Linked DNA regions of Neodiprion lecontei. The protein of the gene in region 1 purifies or fractionates together with the protein of each later gene. This does not show direct contact. Links are inferred from orthologs where the notes say so. Each region holds a gene or a part of one and is shown on either strand. Other genes may lie near its edges.

The links.
Region 2: the proteins of AT-rich interactive domain-containing protein 4A (region 1) and sin3 histone deacetylase corepressor complex component SDS3 purify together in Homo sapiens (affinity purification with western blotting; 3 studies listed by BioGRID, with this or other methods). This does not show direct contact. The link is inferred for Neodiprion lecontei from reciprocal best matches to the Homo sapiens genes ARID4B and SUDS3.

Annotation. Positions count from the first base shown.
Region 1 is NC_060266.1:855,040-865,338, reverse strand, and holds the start of AT-rich interactive domain-containing protein 4A, read left to right. Parts: upstream 1-4,447; 5' UTR 4,448-4,930; coding exon 4,931-4,936; intron 4,937-5,243; coding exon 5,244-5,680; intron 5,681-5,793; coding exon 5,794-6,039; intron 6,040-7,113; coding exon 7,114-7,318; intron 7,319-7,425; coding exon 7,426-9,830; intron 9,831-9,913; coding exon 9,914-10,299. Other genes in the region: protein arginine N-methyltransferase 1, read right to left, coding at 1,357-2,439, 3,970-4,035. UniProt on the Homo sapiens protein: Acts as a transcriptional repressor. May function in the assembly and/or enzymatic activity of the Sin3A corepressor complex or in mediating interactions between the complex and other regulatory complexes.
Region 2 is NC_060263.1:2,838,419-2,847,859, forward strand, and holds sin3 histone deacetylase corepressor complex component SDS3, read left to right. Parts: upstream 1-5,219; 5' UTR 5,220-5,357; coding exon 5,358-5,481; intron 5,482-5,581; coding exon 5,582-5,645; intron 5,646-5,728; coding exon 5,729-5,842; intron 5,843-5,930; coding exon 5,931-6,132; intron 6,133-6,226; coding exon 6,227-6,407; intron 6,408-6,466; coding exon 6,467-6,584; intron 6,585-6,690; coding exon 6,691-6,775; intron 6,776-6,854; coding exon 6,855-6,950; 3' UTR 6,951-7,208; downstream 7,209-9,441. Other genes in the region: transcription elongation factor SPT6, read left to right, coding at 1-173, 1,443-1,647; uncharacterized protein LOC107222062, read right to left, coding at 2,190-2,298, 2,387-2,430, 2,536-2,673, 2,860-3,044, 3,230-3,352, 3,559-3,689, 3,867-4,338, 4,510-4,622 and 1 more.

The DNA.
Region 1 (10,299 bases):
TAGGAAACAAACTGTAAATAACTAAAGCTCAGTGTATATTGAGACACAATTTCATTTCGAATATAATTTTCCCTTCATTTTTTCTTCAGTCACTTGAAACAAACAATCAAAGGGCAAAGAAATAACGAAAATTCGCGATATTCATAGCAAATGTATTAATTTTATTGTTACATACATAATTATATAATCACGTTGCAATGGAACCCTGGCATATTATGGGACTCAAAGAAATGGGATGAGAGTGGGGAAAGAAGTTTGTTTTTCGTGTTCCGTTTTCCGTTTTCACATCAATCTAACAAACAGTAATGATTCCTTATAAAAATTATACATAGTATAATATATACAGCTGCACTGTGACTTGGCAGTCTGTCGGCATGATTAGAAATACGTTTGCCTGCTGGTTTGACAATTACCTGGTCTAGTTAGCAACCTAGTAGAAAACCGATTTTACCTGACTAGAATTATCAATTCAGACAAAGAAGATTCTCCGTTGTTACAATTATTATGTGAATCGAAATCAATAATAGAACAATAATCGATAGCCTAGTCCCTGTGTCGATAAATCATTTACTTCCACGTTCGATGATGTGAATTGGTCATTGTTTTTGAAATATTGGCTAATATTTCATTATCGCTTAGATTTGAATTATAACCTATTCGGAGCATATACTATTTTTCATCGGTCATTGAAGTCGAACAACAAAAATAATGTTAAAAATAGGAGCTTCAAAAACTCCGAATTGTTAGTCTACATTTCAATTCCTATACTTCCAAGTAAATATGTAATTTTATTGGTACTAGGAAAAAAAATGTATGAACAAAAACAATAGCATGGCAAAAGGATGCTGTTGCGGGTAGAAACATCCTTGCCATTAATCGAGAATACCATTTGTCTGACAAAAGCGAGTTAAAATCAAGAAAAAACTAAAAAGAAGAATATTTGATGTAAGAACCTGTGAGCCAAATATGTTATAATTAAGATAACTTACAGGGGATTAGTATTAATTGTATAGGAAAATTCATCTTTGTGATGTTTGGTTAATTTGTCCCTCTTCAAGGAAGATCAATGTAAAGTATGGTAATTTTTTAATTTTTTTTTTAATTTTTATTATTTCTTCTAATTTCTCCTAAATAAAAATGGAATCCCATTTTTCCACAACGGATTATCGCGAACATCCAAGCTTCTCCTTTTGACCCACGGCTCGGGTCAGGTCGTAATTTTTGTCGTTATCGGACCAGAGTGGCACGGCTGAGTGAGCCACGAGAATTGGCCGAAAGGCGGACTTAATATCTAATAGAGAATGCGGAAGTAGCTAGATCAATTTTCGTATTTTCTCTTTATACGCCAAGTGTGAATCAGCGCATGCGGTACGTATTAGTTTCGTGCACCTCGCACAATTCACCCTTGAAGTCAAGTTCGATGCTGAAGTCGAGGTCTCGATTATTTCTCGCGTTGGGCTTCATTGAGAACACTCCATATATTTCCTCCCCTTTTTTCACAGTCATGTAATCGTCAAAGTAAAATACAGTCTGTTTCCAGTGCGTGTACTGCGCCTCAGGCGCCGTACTGAATCCTATGCGTTTGTGGCACTTGGTAAACTCTATGTTGAAGAATGTGACCAGAGCCTGGACGTAGTCGTTCCTTCTCACCTGTAGATTGAACGGCGACGTGAAATCCAGGTCCGCCTTTGTTACCGTGTACAGATCGACCTCTTTTATCAGGCAAGCATTCGTCACAACCTGTTTTGGGTCGACAACGTCCACCAGCGGCTCGCTTATCGCAACTTTCCTGATACTGCTCATGTCAAATCCGTAGACGTCGTCCCACCAGTTTATCTTCTCGTCCTTATACTGGCGGTCCTCGATGCCGCATATGAAAAGTGTCGCCTTGTCCGGAAACAGCATTCCGTCTTCACACAGCCACTTATCTCGGGCAAACAGGACCGTGTCCAGCATCGATTCGTAGAACAAGCAGTAGCCCATCCATTCGGATATTATTATGTCTACCTTCTCAATACCATCCGGCAGAGTCACTTCCTCCACTTTTCCCTTCAGGATCGTTATCACATTCGAGAGCTGGTTCGCCTCCACGATCTTCTTTGCGTACTCGACTATGTTCGAGCACTCAATGCCGATGACGCGAGCCGCCCCTGCCTTGGCTGCGAACATCGACAGGATACCTGTGCCGCAGCCTATGTCCAGTACCGTTTTACCCTTGAACAGGTGCTTGTTGTGGTACATACTGTTTCTGTACGTCATTGTCCTTATCTCATCCTTCAGCATCTCTTCATGAATCCCAAAGTGTGCATACGAGTCGAAGTAGTAGTCTCGCGAGGTCATATCGTCCACTGACACTGCCTCCTTGTCATTTGGCGTCGCTGCGTCCTTTCCCAATGGCACCACTGGCTCAGCTACTTCCATGGTTTCCATCTTAAGTGTCTATAAATGAGAAATTTTATTTATTTATAATTAACAGGTGTAAATCCTTTAATACACGACAATAAGTACACTTTAGAATCCATTGCATAGTAGCAGGTTTTTGTGCAGATATGGTTTGAATCTAAAATTACACATCTCAAATAATCTATGATACTTTTTCTTTGGACGAAATGCGCAAATGACTTTTTTAGGATACCACTTAGGATGGGTATAATGATTGATAGTAATCTTAGAAATATGTTTCTCGATTAAATCAAAAATGGAACAATGTAATGATTCAACATGGCGATTTGAGAGTAGATCAGATACATCAACTTGACTGGGCACCTCGGCAATAAAGTTGTTCGGCTCAGCAAGTTGTTACTAGTGGTAAGAAGCATGATATCGAGAAGCAAGTGAAAGGCATCACAATAAAAAATTGAATCATGAGAAATATTGCAAGAAGAATTTGATAAGTTAGAGAATATAAGATTGAACACATTGCCTCTCGAGATCAAGATATTGTTGTTGTTGCTGAGACTAAAAGAATGAAAAAAATCAAAGGGCAAAGAAAGCAGCACTGCGAATTTCAACATTGACAAAATTCCCCAACGTCTATACATTTTTCAAACAAAAATACATACACTCTGTATATGATTTTAGATGTGAATTGAAAGAATATCGATACATTAAACATTACAGATCTCAGAACAAATTCAAATTTTCTTTTCAGGTCTGCCGTAATCCCGAAGCTAGATAAACAGATGAAAATGCAAAATACTAGTTAACGAACGATTTTAGAAATAATTCACTAATACTCAAATGCGTAAAAAATTTAACTGTATGAATTCTGGTCTGATGGTAAATTTTACAAAACACGAGGCGAAGGTTGTTTGGTTAGAAAACTTAAGAAGCCGGTGGCCGCGACTGTTTCGTGTAAAGTTTGAATTACGGCGCTTGTGAGATATCGGATAAAATTTGGATATTCTTGGACACGTGTCGATTTTACTTACGATAGAGTTCATGTGCGTTAAACTAATCTACGAAAGGTTGTCGGCTGTTTGATTGACCAACTATTTAGCCCGGTTACAGCGCGACGCGGTATAACTCGCGATGATCGTGGAAACAAAATGAAAGCCTGCGTCCGTGACGGCGGCGTTCGACTCGTGAAAACGTCCACGTGCACGCGCCAAAATAAATGGCGTCTAAATTACCGCATTGTCAGGCGTGAAAATTGCGGCCATTATGATGTGCGGCTTTCGGGGCGTGATTGGGAAAATCTGTAATATCGAAAAGAGCGCCAGGCATTTGTACATTCTTTGTATTTTAGTCGGCGTAGTGAAATCGGTCGACTTGGCGGCGCATAGTTTTAGTCTGCTTTACCGTCCGACGAAACTACGACGATGACGACGAACCGAATTTTCTTATACCAAAATTGCACCATCGGAAACACGATTTCAGGGAATATTCTTTGAACGAATATCCGTAGACCTTGCACAATGTCGCGAATATCGCGCGGCTCGATTTTACTTTATCAAACTACAAACTCACCGTGTGATCGCTGCCAAGTGCGTTACTCTCGCTGATGTCCACCGGCACTTCGCTGTTCGCCGCCATTTTTTATTTCGCTCTGGCTATTCAGACGGAATCGTCGCCCCCGTAGTTTCACATTTTTATCAACGTTGCAGCAGCCGAAGCAGCCGATGCGTCCACTGCGCCGCGCAATTGCCCGCGAGACTACATCTCCACTTCATCGTCTCACCGTTTTTCGCCCGGCTTTAACTACGCTGATAATGGGTAAAAAAATATTAAACACCAATTAGTCCATCGTATAGCGCCGATTTAGTCATCATCGATTCGTTTTAAATACGTATTTTGACGTTCTTCGACCCCCTGCGAAATGCGGGCCGCCATACAGGGTCGCCAACGCCTTTACAAGTTCCAAAAAATGTCTCTCGTCACATGGTTCGACACGCTTGGCGCGTATTCATCGAGATCATTGATAGACCGAGGCCTCGCCGGCGTCTCTATCGAGTTTAAAATACCGACACTGCGCTTGCGGGTAACGTAAAGTGTAGAAATGCAGCGGATATCGTGATCTATTATTATGCGATTATTCGCCGAAAGGAAAAATGGTAAATTTTCCGGAACTACTGGGAGCGGGTATTTTTTTCGTCATGGATTGACGGCCCTGATCGTCAGAGCAAAGTGGTTGGTAGCAGCACTCCGCGAGCGACCGATGGGAGTGGGAAATGGGCAGGGAACAACAGCAGTTTGTGGCAGTTAGTGGTGTTTGTCCGCGGTGTCGCTGAACCAGTGATATAAGCTAGAGCAACGATATTCTCGTTCTCGCATAAGGCGAAAGAGGTCAACAAAGACCCTTCTCGTTCTCGGTGTGATCACTTCTCTTTACTATTTCCGAGGATATTCGGAACTGACGACCGTTTTCATGTCTCGGTGCGAGTACGGCTACCTACCGAAACTGCCTATGAAGATTGTAGAACGTTAGAAAATGCTGGTAAGAATCCATGAGCTCGAATTCGCATCTTCAACATATCTCAATTACCATTCTGGTTTTCGCCTCATCTCGGAATCGCTTCGCTCGTTTTCGCAGCTTTTTGTTCCCACTCTGATTCCCACCCACCAAGTATTGCGTATGTTTTCACTTCCCAAGAATCGTTCCTTTTTCGTTGCCGCCATTCAATCAATGTTGTGTATCATATATTCTCATCCCATCTTCGCTAGCTGATGGATCCGGATCGCGGAATAAAAATGAATAAAAATTTGTAACAAAAATAACGTACCTTTAACCATCTAATTTCCAGGGAGACGATCCACCGTATCTGTCGGTTGGTACGGAGGTAAGCGCTAAGTACAAGGGTGCGTTTTGTGAGGCTAAAATCAGGAAGGTTGTGCGGTCGGTGAAATGCCGTGTAACGTATAAGCAGGGCTTGGGAACAGCGACAGTCACCGATGATCAGATAAAAGGCACGCTCAGGGTAGGGGGGCTGGTCGAAGCCAAGCACAATGACAGAAAGGAATTCGTCGATGCTACCGTCAACAAAATACAAGACTGTAGTCAGTACACTGTCGTTTTTGACGACGGAGACATAACGACTCTCAGACGAACTGCTTTGTGCCTGAAAAGTGGCAGACACTTTGCAGAGAGTGAAACTTTGGATCAGCTGCCTCTCACTCATCCCGAACACTTTGGTAATCCTGTTATCGGCGGTAGGAGGGGGCGGAGATCCAGGCAAGCTCAGTAAGTGCTAAAAATAATTATGACTCAAGCTCCGGAAGAAGTATAAACCGAAGAAAACGACAGAAAATGCAACTATCTCCGTCTTGTCTTATGAAACGTTAACCGTTCTGCAGGGATGAGAGCAGCGACGATGAGGAAAGCCCACCGCGAGGTGTCAGAGAATCAGGTTCCGGAGGTGTGGGAAAAGAACAAGTCGAAACAGAACCAGAGATTGGTAGAGTCGTGTGCGTAGAGCTTGGAGACAAGAAGAAAAAGGACAATTGGTTCCCAGGGTTGGTAGTTGCTCCAACTGCCCAGGATACAGTCAGGATACGTGTCCGAGATGACTATCTAGTTCGTTCATTTAAGGATGCCAGATAGTGAGTATTTGAATTTGAATTTACATTTATCGAAAGACACTTCCAATACTGTTCATGTCTATAGAATCTGCATAATAATCACCTTCTGCTGCAGAGATTATTTATCATCTCTATTCAGTTTGTTCAATTCGACAATATTAAGAATACCTATGAACTACGATAGATTTGAGAAATAAAACGATTATTGTTTGCTCAATTTATTTATTTACATATTTTCGTAAACCTTCAATCTTACACAGTCTTTTATCATATTTTGAATATATTCTTTTCATTTTAGATTTGTAGCGATTTTTTCTTGCTTCATATTCACTTGGTATTTTATTGAAATAATAGGTATGTAGTTAAGTATAAATGATTCCTTTGACCTTTATTTCTGTATGTTTTCGGTAGTGTAATACTATCGTTTCTAGTGGCGGTTGCATTATTTGTATATTGCATATGTAAATTTAATGATATAACTTTTTTGCTATCTGCCATTTTCGTTATGTTTATAATCCTATTATCTATACTGTTCAGTGCTTGCAGAGTAGTTTTATTTCTAGCACCCTAAGATATAAATCCATTAGTCTGGTAATGTATATTATAGGTTGTCAAACGATAATATTTTACTTAGATTGAATATCACGTAAACCATATACTTTGTTTTGCTAATAAGATAATTTATATGGCAGTTCCATCTAAGATGCTTATTAATTGTAATATGGTCAAACTTGCCAATAGCAGACACCTTCGGGAAGGAAAATCTTGTCTTTTATAGAGAAGTGTCCATTATTGGGAGATACATTTTCAATTATGCTTTTCTGTCAGGGATTTCTAACTTGTCCGTTAAGAGAAGTTTTATTGTACCCAAACATTTAGTTTCGTTTACATTTGATATTTTCTAATTGTCAACATATCCATTGAAATCCCTTCATATACAATCTCTGTGATTAACAACTGTAATATTTACTCTTCTTTTTCTACATTTAATGATAACGTATTTTTGTCCAGCCATTCTTTGATATTCACCTCTTGTGCGACTTCTCTCACTTTCCTAGCGGCAACAATACGCGATGTTACTTGTTTTGTCCTCAGCTACACCGTTCCAAAGAAGGAAGCAACAGAGTTCACCAAAGAATTGGTTAACAAGGTGGAGAATAATGCGCTCAAAATTGCCGTTGAAAAGGCATTGTTATTTCTCGACAAAAACGAACTTCCACCTCACTGGGACAGGGATTCTTTATTTGGCAATGCAGACTCTAGCGGGAACAGCGATAGTGACGCAGAACTGGATTCCGATGTAAGTGTCTGTAATCCATGATGTTTAAACTTGGTTGTCACTGACCGATTCACGCATCGAATCTGTTTTGTTCTTTTTTTTTTTTTTTTTTTTTTTTTTATTTTCAGAGTTCCGATGACGAGCCAAGGGAGGAAAAGGATCACTTTGTTGCACAGCTTTACAAGTTTATGGACGATCGAGGAACTCCGATAAACAATTGTCCTATGATAGGGACACAGGATATAGACTTGTACAGACTATTCAGAGCCGTTTACAAACTGGGTGGTTACAATCGTGTCACAAATCAGAATCAATGGAAGTCCATTACTCGTCGACTCGGTTTTCCCATTCAGAGTACGTCGTCAACTCAGAACGCCGTGAAACAACAGTACAAAAAGTTCCTTCATTCTTTTGAAGATTTTTATAGGAAGCTTGGTTGCACAATGGTAAATCACCCGAGGGGCAGTACCAGGAAACAGAGACCCGGCAGGAGTCTGATCAGAGACAGAGACAGGAATACGCCTGTCCCGCCACAGATGCCCTCAACAAAGATTGAGAAGGAGGAGGAAGAAAAAGAGAAAGACAAAGACAGGGAAAAGGAGAAGGAGAAAGAAAAGGACAAGGAAAAAGAAAAGGAGAAAGAGAAGGAGAAGGAGAAGGAGAAGGAGAAGGAGAAGGAGAAGGAGAAGGAAAAGGAGAAAGAGAAAAGAATCGAGGAGGAGGAAAAACGGGAGAAAAAGGAGGTGAAGAAGGAGCCGATGAAGGAGGAGGAGATTGTGAAGATTAAGAAGAAGGAGGAATTCGAGGAGAGCGGGAGTGGACAAGACAGCGATGTGAACATCGACGGGGAGGAGGAATCGTCGTCTAGCGAAAAATCACAGAAAATCGTTGCCACATTGGCGCCAAAGGCAAAGCCGCCAGCAAAGCTCAAAGATGAAAAGAAAAAAACTGGGGAAAAGAAGAAGGGAGATGCGAAAAAGTCGGAGAAGAAGGCGGAAGACAAGGTGAAAGAGGAAGAACAGCTAACCGTGACCAGATCCAAGTCCAAGGATGACACGACCAAGGGTAAACCATCGATTACCGAACCCAGAGACGTTCGAACACCATCCGCAGAGACTGAGAAGAAGATTCCCCCGAAGCAGCGCCGACCTACCGAAGAAGAGTTGAAAAAGCGCGGCAGAAAACGCAAAGAAAGCGAGCCGGAAAAGCCGAGGCCCATGGAGGAAATGCCCACCGATCCCGCACCGTCGTACAAAGGGGTGGTTGACCTCGGAGATCGTCTCAAGGTTTACTACGGGCCTAACCACGAGTCTAAAGTAACGTACGAGGCAAAAGTAATCGATATAGAGAAAGAGGGTGCTGAGCCGGTTTACCTGGTCCACTACACTGGCTGGAACACGCGATACGACGAGTGGATAAAGGGCTCCAGGATTGCGCAAAATTTCACACAGACTCAAGGTCGCGTAAAGCGCGGCAAGACCACTCCTAGGCCACAGACTCCAAGTACTGCGGGCTCCTCTGCGTCTAGTAAACTAGCCAAGTCGTCAGCCCAGAACAGGAGAAGGGCACACAGTGTTGCGCCTACCTCCGTAACTACTGCAATACCAACTGCGTCGATGATGAAGGATGTCGGAAAGCGGGACGAGAAGGAGAAGGACGGCCACCCACCCCGATCAAGCACACCGTCTTCGGTCGCAAGTTCAAGTTCCAGGACGAAGAGCCCTGCGACTCCAGCCGTAGGAAGGCAGACCAGAGTTACCAGGAACAACGACTCCTCGGGGCTCGAACCGCGGAGACGTACCAGACGCATGTCTGGTCATACAGACATATCAGTGGCATCGGAGAGCGACAGCGATGCCTACGAATCAGACACGATGGAGCCGGAGCAAACAAGGACAAGATCCAGGGGAATGGAGGAGCGGAAAAAAAACACGAGGCAACGCGGGGATGATGAGGTGAAAACCGAGGACTGCAGCGAAGCTGAGGAGGAGAAGGATGCACCTGAGGAGCTCAGAAGGGGACGCAGGCTCAGGAGAACGCCGGGAAAGAATCAGGCAGTGAAGTCAGAGCCTGAGAGCGACGAGGATCAACCCAAGGGTCGGGACTTTGATCTGAACCAGATCAGATCGGAGCTGAAGGGCTTTGAAAAGGCTGTCAAACTCGACATGATTAGGGTTGAAAGGGAAACGGAAGAGGCGAATCTTGAGGAGAAGGAAAGTGAGGACAAGCCTTTGGTCCCAATGCCCGCATCACCGAAGGCAGAGAAGAAACAGTTAGAGCCGCCCAAACTCGAAGCCGTTGTTGAAACCAAGACTGCCGAGAGCACAGAAGATATTTACGAGTTCAAAGAACCGGAACCTTTCGAATTTGAAGTAAGAAACAAACGGGACTCGGGCGGTGAGAAGGACAAGGTTAAAAAACGCGTTTTCGACGAGGAGCCGAAGAGCCCGAAGAAAAAACAGAAGGTACTACCTCCGTTGCCGAAGGAAATAAAACTCGAGGTTGACGGCGATCCAAAAAAGAGAGTTCGAAGGTTTGTCATTTGCATTTGTATCATCTATAATGTATTGACTCAAGACTACTATCCTTGTCTGACTGCACATTTCGAATTTTCAGATCTTTAATTAAGAGGGTGGAAGACGCGGATGTTCTTCCTCCGTCCGGGAAGGCCAGATCTCAGCTCGCCTGCGAAGAGGCATTCGATAAGCTCTGCGAATCTCCTTCTTTCAGCCCCTTGAAGCCTGTTCCAGTAGCAGAGGAGGCTGGAAAAGTAGCAACAACGCTCGACCTGCTCTTCAGCGACCTGCCCGGTGACGAGGACGGACCAGCCGACGACCCGGAGGACAGGCTAATCATATCGGAGGCTGAGGTTTCCGAGGCCGAGCAAGAGAATCTCTTCACTTATCAACAGGAAATTTTTCCATCCAACGACATTCCCGATACCATGGAGTTCAGTAAGGAGGAGGGCAAGGACCAAGAAAAGGCGTCCAAAGAGGAACCAC
Region 2 (9,441 bases), on another chromosome or scaffold:
CACCAAGGCCAGTTTGTTCATCCTGGGCCAACCACAGTGACATCTGCTCACCATAGAACAACACCTTCACATCGCCCAACACCGCAAATGCCCACACTAGCCGGAGACCCGATGGATTGGAAAAAAGCTGCCGAGGCATGGGCTAAACTGAAACAGATCACTCCCAGGATCTCGTATGTATCCCGAAAGATGTACCTCCTCGATTTTGATTTCTCGAAAATGTGACAACTCGTTGTTACTTACTGTATTGTTTCCCAATATTTAACAAATATGTATAACGAGTCTCATAGACACTTTGTAGGGGATATCGTAATTCCACTAGAATTCCAACATAATACAATCAATGCTCTGGATAGAGATGTTATCCAGATAAATTCCATGCTCAGGTGATATTTACATTGATGAATATCAATTGATGAAATCATTGATGAAACGCAATGTACATGAGATTGAAGAACGTCACACGGCTCTAACAAAACATAGTATCAATAAACAACATACTTTTAACTACGACAATACAAACATCCTTTGTGAAGAACACACTTATTATAAAAGACTATTACTAGAAATGTGCAACATTGTAGGTCACACCAATTCCGTTAATCTTAGACAAGATGTTGAACATTTAAGTAATATTTACAAACCTCTAATCTCCGCCCACACAACAAATATTGTTTAACCTTAACTAGATACAAAAAAATTTTTGTCCCCATAACACAGTTTTTCTACATAATTTTTTTCACAAAATATTTTTTGTTTTCCTGTATAATTGTTTATATTAGGTTCACCTTCACTCTGGATCGTATTTGTTTCTCCCATCAGTCGTTATTCACCTGTTGACCCAATCGGTTCAACCAACAATAATTTTTGGTTAGACATGTGGAACATAGTCATAAAGGGCCTACCTCCACTTCTTGGACACTTGCAAATTAATTTTAATGCTAAAAAGACCTTCTTTAAAAACCTTTTAACACAATGACATACTGACTGTGAAGAAACATAGTTCTTTAATCTTGGTAATTAATGACTTCCAACTATTAACTCCTACATGTAAAATAACTAGAAGATTGACATTGACTACCGTCACTCAAAGAACATTGTCTCCACTAATTGTAAATTGTGAATTCGACTACATCTTAGTCCACTTACTTATAAAAAAAAGGTAAATAACACTTAAAGCCATTCTTTTTTCAATTAATCAAAATGTTCTTACTAACCAATAATATATAATAGCCCTAAGAGTATTACATCTACAATATTTCATGTCTGATTGCACTTCTAGTATTATTATTTAAAAAAAAAAAATTTTTTGGTGCTCTTGACAGTTAAATAAATAAATCGTTCTGAGGAGGGCCCATATCCGGGTCGAAACGTTAACTAAAAATACGTTTACTTAATTGACCGATCACCAAGATTCTATAATAGATATTTACATTGTTTAGTGGGAACAGCACTCCTAGATATGAGGACTCGAGAAAAACTCCGCGGGGATACGACGATGGATCAGGTCGAGCTACACCCCGCAACAGGCCACCAACGGCACGTACACCGTCGTATAAATCACCGAGAGGAACCCCACATACGAATTCGAGTCCCAGGAGTATGTCTCTTAGCGGAGACGGTACTCCGTTGTACGATGAAAATTAATTTAGCTTAACCACTTATTATGGTTTCGTATTAAAATTAGAAAAATTAAAAATTTAAAAAAATACATATTCTGGTGTAACTCTTTATTTTGGCTACGTATGTATACTCAAATTGTGTACACATGTATGTAATACACCCGTTTATATAAAAGTAAGTAATTATAAGTAGTAATAATGAAAATAACAATAATGATAACAGTAATAATGGTATGAATAATAATAGTAATATAAATAAGTTAATATTATGTGGGAGCACGTAACATGGGTGTATTGGTACACGTAATGGACTTTGGTTTCCTTTAATTTAAAAAAAAAAAATTAAAATTAAACGAACTCGCTTATTATATGTATACAAAGACTTGCCTAGTAGTGTGCGTGCTCTTGACAACAGTGAAATATATCTGTTGTTTTAGATTGAAAGTCGTCCTATATTTGCTACCATATTATTCCTTGACATGCCAATGGAATAAGTGTTATAATTATTTCCGTAGTTAATTGCATTCGTAGATAAATAAAATTAATAAAATGATTTGATACCATATTTTACACACCATCAGACAAATCGTTGTCGTTGACTTTAAAACTATCATGATACACGTACGATATAACTGGTTCTCGACTCAATGGCAGTCGCTGATGCTTTATATCGTGTCTGTAAAATTGAACATTCTTTGAATTAATAATCGGATAGTCGTTTTAGAGGTGTGACGAATTATTACAGGCTCAAAGTGGAAGCTTACTTAATAGTTGGACGGATTTCTTCCAATTTCTTCAAATTTACACCCTGTGGAAGTAAAAACGGGTGTTTAGAGTATAACAAAATAATGTACCTTAAGGTATTTAATTTTTCGTTATTAAATACTGCGTCACAATAGATAAATAACAGTACCAGGGTAATATCTGCAATATTCGTATCCTCCCTTGAGTTTTCGAAGACGTGAGTTGAAAGTTTTCGTCTTATTTTGGACAAACTGTTGACTTGCAAATCGCTAGCAGGCATTCTACTGGCTTCTTTTCTATTAGGAGTCTGGAATTTATATGGATTAATTTATATTTCAAACAGTTCCGACATATTCTATGAATTTTAACTAAATCCCATGGTTATTGTTTCTTATTATGTCTCAGTGATGGAGTCTAAATTTGATATTTATTTATCACCTGCTTACAAGTCGTCTCAAGAAATCTAGCATGCTCTATGATTAGTTATATATACCATATTGTTAGTGATTGCATCATTGGCGTCGCTGTGATTCAACTCTGTCAAGATTCTTTTTCTTTTAACCCGGTTTTTTGCTGTTTGCACAGGTGACAACGAACGAACCTTTTTGCTATAATTGCCTGATTTCTTATGATTGTTTGTCGTCAAAACATCATTGTCTTCGTCTTTTAGTTTTCCATCTACACAAAATTAAGAATGATATTTCTGTTTTAAGTACTGATAAACTAATGATTCATCAGAAAAACTTCAAGTTAGAATGTGTAGGTAAAACATTTGGGACGTTGAATAACAATTGTTTTGACATATTGAAAATATATTTCATTTCAATATGCGGAAAAATATTTGAAATACAGGGAACACTTGCCGCTGACTAAATGTTTATAAGATTCTGTTTCATCATTTTTCAATAATCTCCAGTTTTCACAAAACAAATTTATTTGCTTTGGACATCCATTGCGACACCACAAAATTAACTCCTTAGGAATACCTGCCGAGTGAAAGTTCAGTACCATTATCCCCAAATAATTGATATACATGTTTAGCTAGCTGCAATGTGAATCAAAACTTTCCAATATCTTCAGAATTTAAAAAGTGTAGTGATGAATTAGGTACACGCCTATGAGTGTGAAACATAAAATGAAAAATACTTGACTCTACTGTCCTCAGAATACACATCATTGCATTCATACATACTACGTTTAGTGTTGTTGAGATCGCCCATCAATTCATAAAATTCGTGATTAATGGTTTCAATGATCCTTGGAGAAATTCTTCGATGTACAATACCTGTTACGTGATTCCTATTCACAGCATGACCCATTGAACTGGAAAAAATGGATCAATTATTCTTTTGTGCAGAATTTCACAAATGTTCAAGGTATGTAATAAAACAATTCACAGCCTTATTCAGACTTGTTTGATATACAATTAAGTCTTGCAAATATTTACTTATTCTTATAATGTATCGTTTTAATGCTGATTTTTAGTATCGTGTGGCTCACCTCAGCAAGGTTCCCTTAAAGGCCAAGTAGCATCCTGCATTGTCGCCAAGTTGCAGGAGTGGTGTCCATGCTGTGAGCTGCTTCGTATCATTTGGTGTTTTGGATATTTTGTCAGACACCTCATGATCCAAAATTGATTCGCAGGTCTTTGTTTCAGCAAGTGAATTAACCAGTTTTTCATTCTGATGATATTCACCAATACTTTCATCAGTACCATTTTTAATCATAGGGTACGTCGTCTCATTCACCATTGTAACTTTTTCAATGTCTTTAACGAAACGAGAATTCTCATTGGAACCATTAACAGTCAACTTAAGCTTTTCATTGACAAAGAGACCTTCAGGGATACACAATAATCGTGTTGCTTCGTCGCATCCAGAGGTAATAATGAAGCGTTTCCAAATGTCGATAATAGCTTCCCAATCTTCTGGGAAACCTTGTTGAAATTTACGGCGAACGAATACTGGAAGTTCTGCAGATAATAGTTGGAAATATTTATGGATCAGCTAAAGACAAGTATAAGATGGTTGATGGAAAATATTTTTTATACACGATACAATAAAAATCTGTCATTTATGATATTACTTCTCATGTAATAACAGCATAGCTCTTGCGTGAATGTGACTGAGATTTATATGCGTACCATGTTGTAAATCAGCCATATTTCCAATTAGATGATAGGCATGTTTGAATTTTGATAAAATCCTTGACGAGGTGACTCTATTTGCTATTGGTTTAGTTCGAACTCTGGTACCACTGTCAATAAATGTTAAATGTAAGATGGATTGAAATTTATTCAGCATGCATTAATAGCTCAATGTAGAAGTTTATCTTATTCAAACTATGTATAACAAGTATCTGTATCAGGTACGTATTTGCTACATAAGGTTTTAAGGAGAACATACCACTCCAAATTTCCTTCAATGACAACCTGGTCATCATCATTTAGTTTAACAATCCACAATGTAATTGATCTTATCTTTTTTTTTAACGAATTCAAATGGGCCACATGACAATCCAGCGATCTCACTGATGTTCTGTACGCTTCAGAATCACAATTCCCATAAGAAACTCCACTCGAATCGTTAGGAATAATTCCAACTGGATCTGATTTCTTCGAAAATGATTCCATTTCATTGTAGGATAAGTAATCTATCAGAATCCATAAAATTTCGGTAACCTACGTATATCGGGCGTCCGATGCGAAGAGAAATGAAAAAAAGAAGCAAGCACTAGGATTAGCAAACGCCTGGTCGGAATTTGAATACGTCTCAATGAATAACGAATCACAACAAGTGGCGTTCTGCAACGGACACGTGTGCGTGTTTATCGGATGAAGCAATTGACATCCTCTCGTGTGCATGTGTGCATACATAACATAACCTCTTACTTGACAAGCTTAACCAGAGAGAGGATTTGTGTCGATAACTAGCTCGTAAATTAAGACATCATCGTGATTTATTCGGCGCGGAGTCTTACAGTATTGTTTACATGTCGTTTCAAGGTTCTCCATTTTCAACACCTTATGGTCAGGACGATTATGATGTCGAGGACGACAACGATGAGTACATGGAAGAAGATCGTGATTTGGAGGACCAGGATGAGAGTGACGAAGGTCAGAATTTTTGGGCTTTGTTGATAAAGACATCTTACAATTTGTATATGCATTTATTTAAACTTCAATAATAATAACTTTGATTTGTTTTAATTTTCAGATACGGAAGAGGCTAGTGAGCCCGATATGGGAAAGTCAGAAAAGTACACTGAAATAAAGGAACAGTAAGCAGTAACCAATTTTGACAATATTCTTAATTACAACTCTTAAATAATCGCTTCTGAAATAAACGTTCTTTTCTCCGTAGAATGTATCAAGATAAATTAGCTAGTCTAAAAAAACAGCTTCAACAATTGAAGGATGGAACACATCCGGAATACAATCGTAAGCTCAAACGCCTGGAGGTGCAGTACAAGGAAAGGTGAGGTATTCCTGAAATACGTTAAAATATGTTGTTAGATGTGGAAAAATTATCCTTCAGAGTACTAATTTTCTACTATTAAATTCAGGTTACGGTTGAATGGAATTTACCGGGATTACCTCACCGAGTGGGTAGAAAGAGATTACATACTTGAGAAAAAAGCAGCAGCCAAGGAGTTTGAAGAGAAAAAAATCGACCTCAAGGAAAATTTATTAACCGATATGGAAGAGAAGCGTAAAATGATTGAATCTGATCGGCACACAATGGAACTCACTGGTGATTCTATGGAGGTAATAGGCTTTATCCAGTCTTCTTACTTTTTGACAAATTGATAATGTAAAACTAAGTGATCATCCGTAACTAGTTTGATTCGTTTGTACTCAGGTGAAACCCCCTATGACCAGAAAACTGCGCCGTCGACCCAATGACCCAGTACCTGAGAAAGTAGAGAAACGTAGAAAGCCACCTCCGGCGCAGTTGAATTACTTACTTGATGAAAAGGAGATTGAGAATGACTTAAAAGCGATCAGCCGTTGTAAAATACTATCTACTGTACGAAAACCAGGTACTGATTTTTCGTTTTTATTTTTAATAACTTTTAGTAATGCTTTTTTAATTTTTCAGCAGTCCTGACTGCCTGCAATGTAGTCAATCTTCCAGCTCAGCATGCCAATCCATCTCCTGATACTCCTCTGGTAGAGACAAGGATTGAAGATGGAAAATTACTCTATGAAAGAAGATGGTTAGAGTCCACACAAATATTTATGCATCATGATTTTCTTTCAAAATCAAAGCAACAAAGAATTTATATTTTGTAAATGACTTCATATTTTTAATTTGATTTGCAGGTTTCACCGCGGTCAACCTGTTTATGTTGAAGGCAAGGACTTACCCCGATTCGCTGGTAATATATCAGCGATTGGAACCGAAGCTGTGAGTAAATTTCATTTACTTTAGCACTAATTAAGAAAGAGCTTTAAACAATAGTTCGTGTGTAATTGTTATCTTACAGATCTGGGTAAAGAAGGTATCTGACAATGCCAAAGTCAGAATATACATATACCAACTCAGCCGTGGAAAGATTTCCATTAAACGACGTGCATCATAATGAACCTGACTGATGAAAAACAAACAGGAAATACTTGTTGAAATGTCGATATTTTCAAGTTGGTACTTGTGCAGATTTATAGTTATAAACAGTCAGATGTAACTGTGTTTTTTTTTTCATAGACAACAACATTTTAGCTATGCTCAGTTATGCTGATTTTTATTATTTGTATAATTGTTACTGATCATTCAGTAAAAGATCTTTTACGTCGTTTAAACGTCTAACAGATCTGTACAATCAAAACTCTGTCTAAATGAATGCAACGGTAGTTTATATTATTTACTTCCCCCCTGCTCTTCCCTGTCACCGATGTCCATTTACGTTACCATTTGCTGATAGTAGTAGTTGATGTCATGAATGAAAATAAGGTGAGTTCGTGCGCAGCCTTCTCTAATTGTGAGACCCAATCACGTCCTGCTCCAGATAGACGTCCAGCACGGATTACACATTCGGGCCGGAGATCGCTCGGTCCTTAAAAAGTGACAGAAACGAACGCGACCAATATCCGTTTCTTTTTAAACAGAAACGTAAATCTCATATTAGGCACTCGTGTGTGAAATTATTTTCGAAAAAGGATAGGAAAAAGACTTGAGTGTAAGTGCAAAGAATATAATTAATTTTTTTGAACTGAAATTTCTTCCCTTTGTTCATTGTATATATTAATTATATATTGATGTTAACATGTCTGATTTAAAGACTTCAAACTCGCGTTGAAGGATTGTATCCACTTGTGAAACGATCTTCGAGGTTTTTCATCTCCACGCGGTTATAAACACTGGAATAAGCTTTATGAACTCGGAAAAAATATATAGTATTATTTATCTAGTAATAGTATTACTAGGATTATTTATAAGAACGCTAGGCCTGCGTACAGACTCATACAAGTCTCTGCAGGATTTTTATGTAACAACCCCTTTCCATAAAAATTGTACCCCTATACACCTGTTTCAATAAAATTTAATTTACTTAATTGATTTATTAAATGATAATTGTCGCATACACTGGAATCAATGGTTGAGCAGGACTACATCTACTGTAATACGGGAAGTTGGATGTTCTATCACCAAAGGTCACTTGACATGAGAGGGTCATACACATACAAGAAAATTGGGAAAAATTTTTGTTCGAAACAATAACAAGGCAAAAACTTTCGGTCGAAAATTTGGTAAAAAAGTAAGGCTAACCCCTTTGCATTTTTGGCGGAAATTTTCGCGAATTTGAAAAGTGCTGGAATAAATTCTATGATGCACTATTCCGACGTAATTTTGCGAGAGAAATCGATTGGGCGCAGTCCCAACACGCTGCAAGCAACGTATAAAGAGTTGGAGCCGAAAAACGAGAACCTGAGTTTTCGACATTTTTCAGCTGGTGCTTTTTTCATCGTAATTTCCCTGCTGTTGATCCCACGCTATTTTCGCTGCGTTTTCTGAGTTCCTGGGGGTCCAATTAATTGGGACAGGGTCATACAAATCGAATCTGAGACGAAAAATTTTCGGTCAAAAATTTGACAAATAAGTGAGGCTTTGCATTTTTCGCGGAAATTTTAGCGAATTTTGAAAGTGCTGAAATAAATTCTTTGATGCATTATTCCGACGTAATTTTGCGAGAGTAATCGATTGGGCGCAGTCCCAACATGCTGCGAGCAACGTATGAAGAGTGAAAGCCGAAAAACGAGAACCTGAGTTTTCGACATTTTTCAGCTGGTGCTTTCACCATCGTAATTTCTCTGCTGTTGATCCCACGCTGTTTTCGCTGCGTTTTCTGAGTTCCTTGGGGTCCAACTGGTCGGGAAAGAGTCATACGAATCAATTCTGAGACGAAAAATTTTTTGGTCAAAAAAAAAGGAAGGTTAACCCCTTTGTATTTTTGGCGAAAATTTTCGCGATTTTCAAAAGTGCTGGAATAAATTAATTGTGGCACTATTCCGACGTAATTTTACAAGAGAAATCGATTGGGCGCAGTCCCAATACGGTGCGATCAACGCATCAAAAGTTACAGCCAAAAAACGAAAACCCGAATTTTCGACATTTTTCAGCAGGTGCTTTTTCCGTCGTATCTTCTTTCCCGTTGATCCCACACTCCTTTTACCGCGTTTTCTGAGTTCCTTGGTGTCCAATTGGTCGGGAAAGAGTCATACGAATCAATTCTGAGACGAAAAATTTTTTGGTCAAAAAAAAAGGAAGGTTAACCCCTTTGTATTTCTGGCGAAAATTTTCGCGATTTTCAAAAGTGCTGGAATAAGTTAATTGTGGCACTATTCCGACGTAATTTTGCAAGAGAAATCGATTGGGCGCAGTCCCAATACGGTGCGATCAATGCATCAAAAGTTACAGCCATAAAACGAAAGCCTGAATTTTCGACATGTTTCAGCAGGTACTTTTTCCGTCGTATCTTCCTTCCCGTTGATCCCACGCTCCTTTTACCGCGTTTTCTGAGTTCCTTGGGGTCCGATTGGTCGGGAGAGAGTCATACGAATCAATTCTGAGACGAA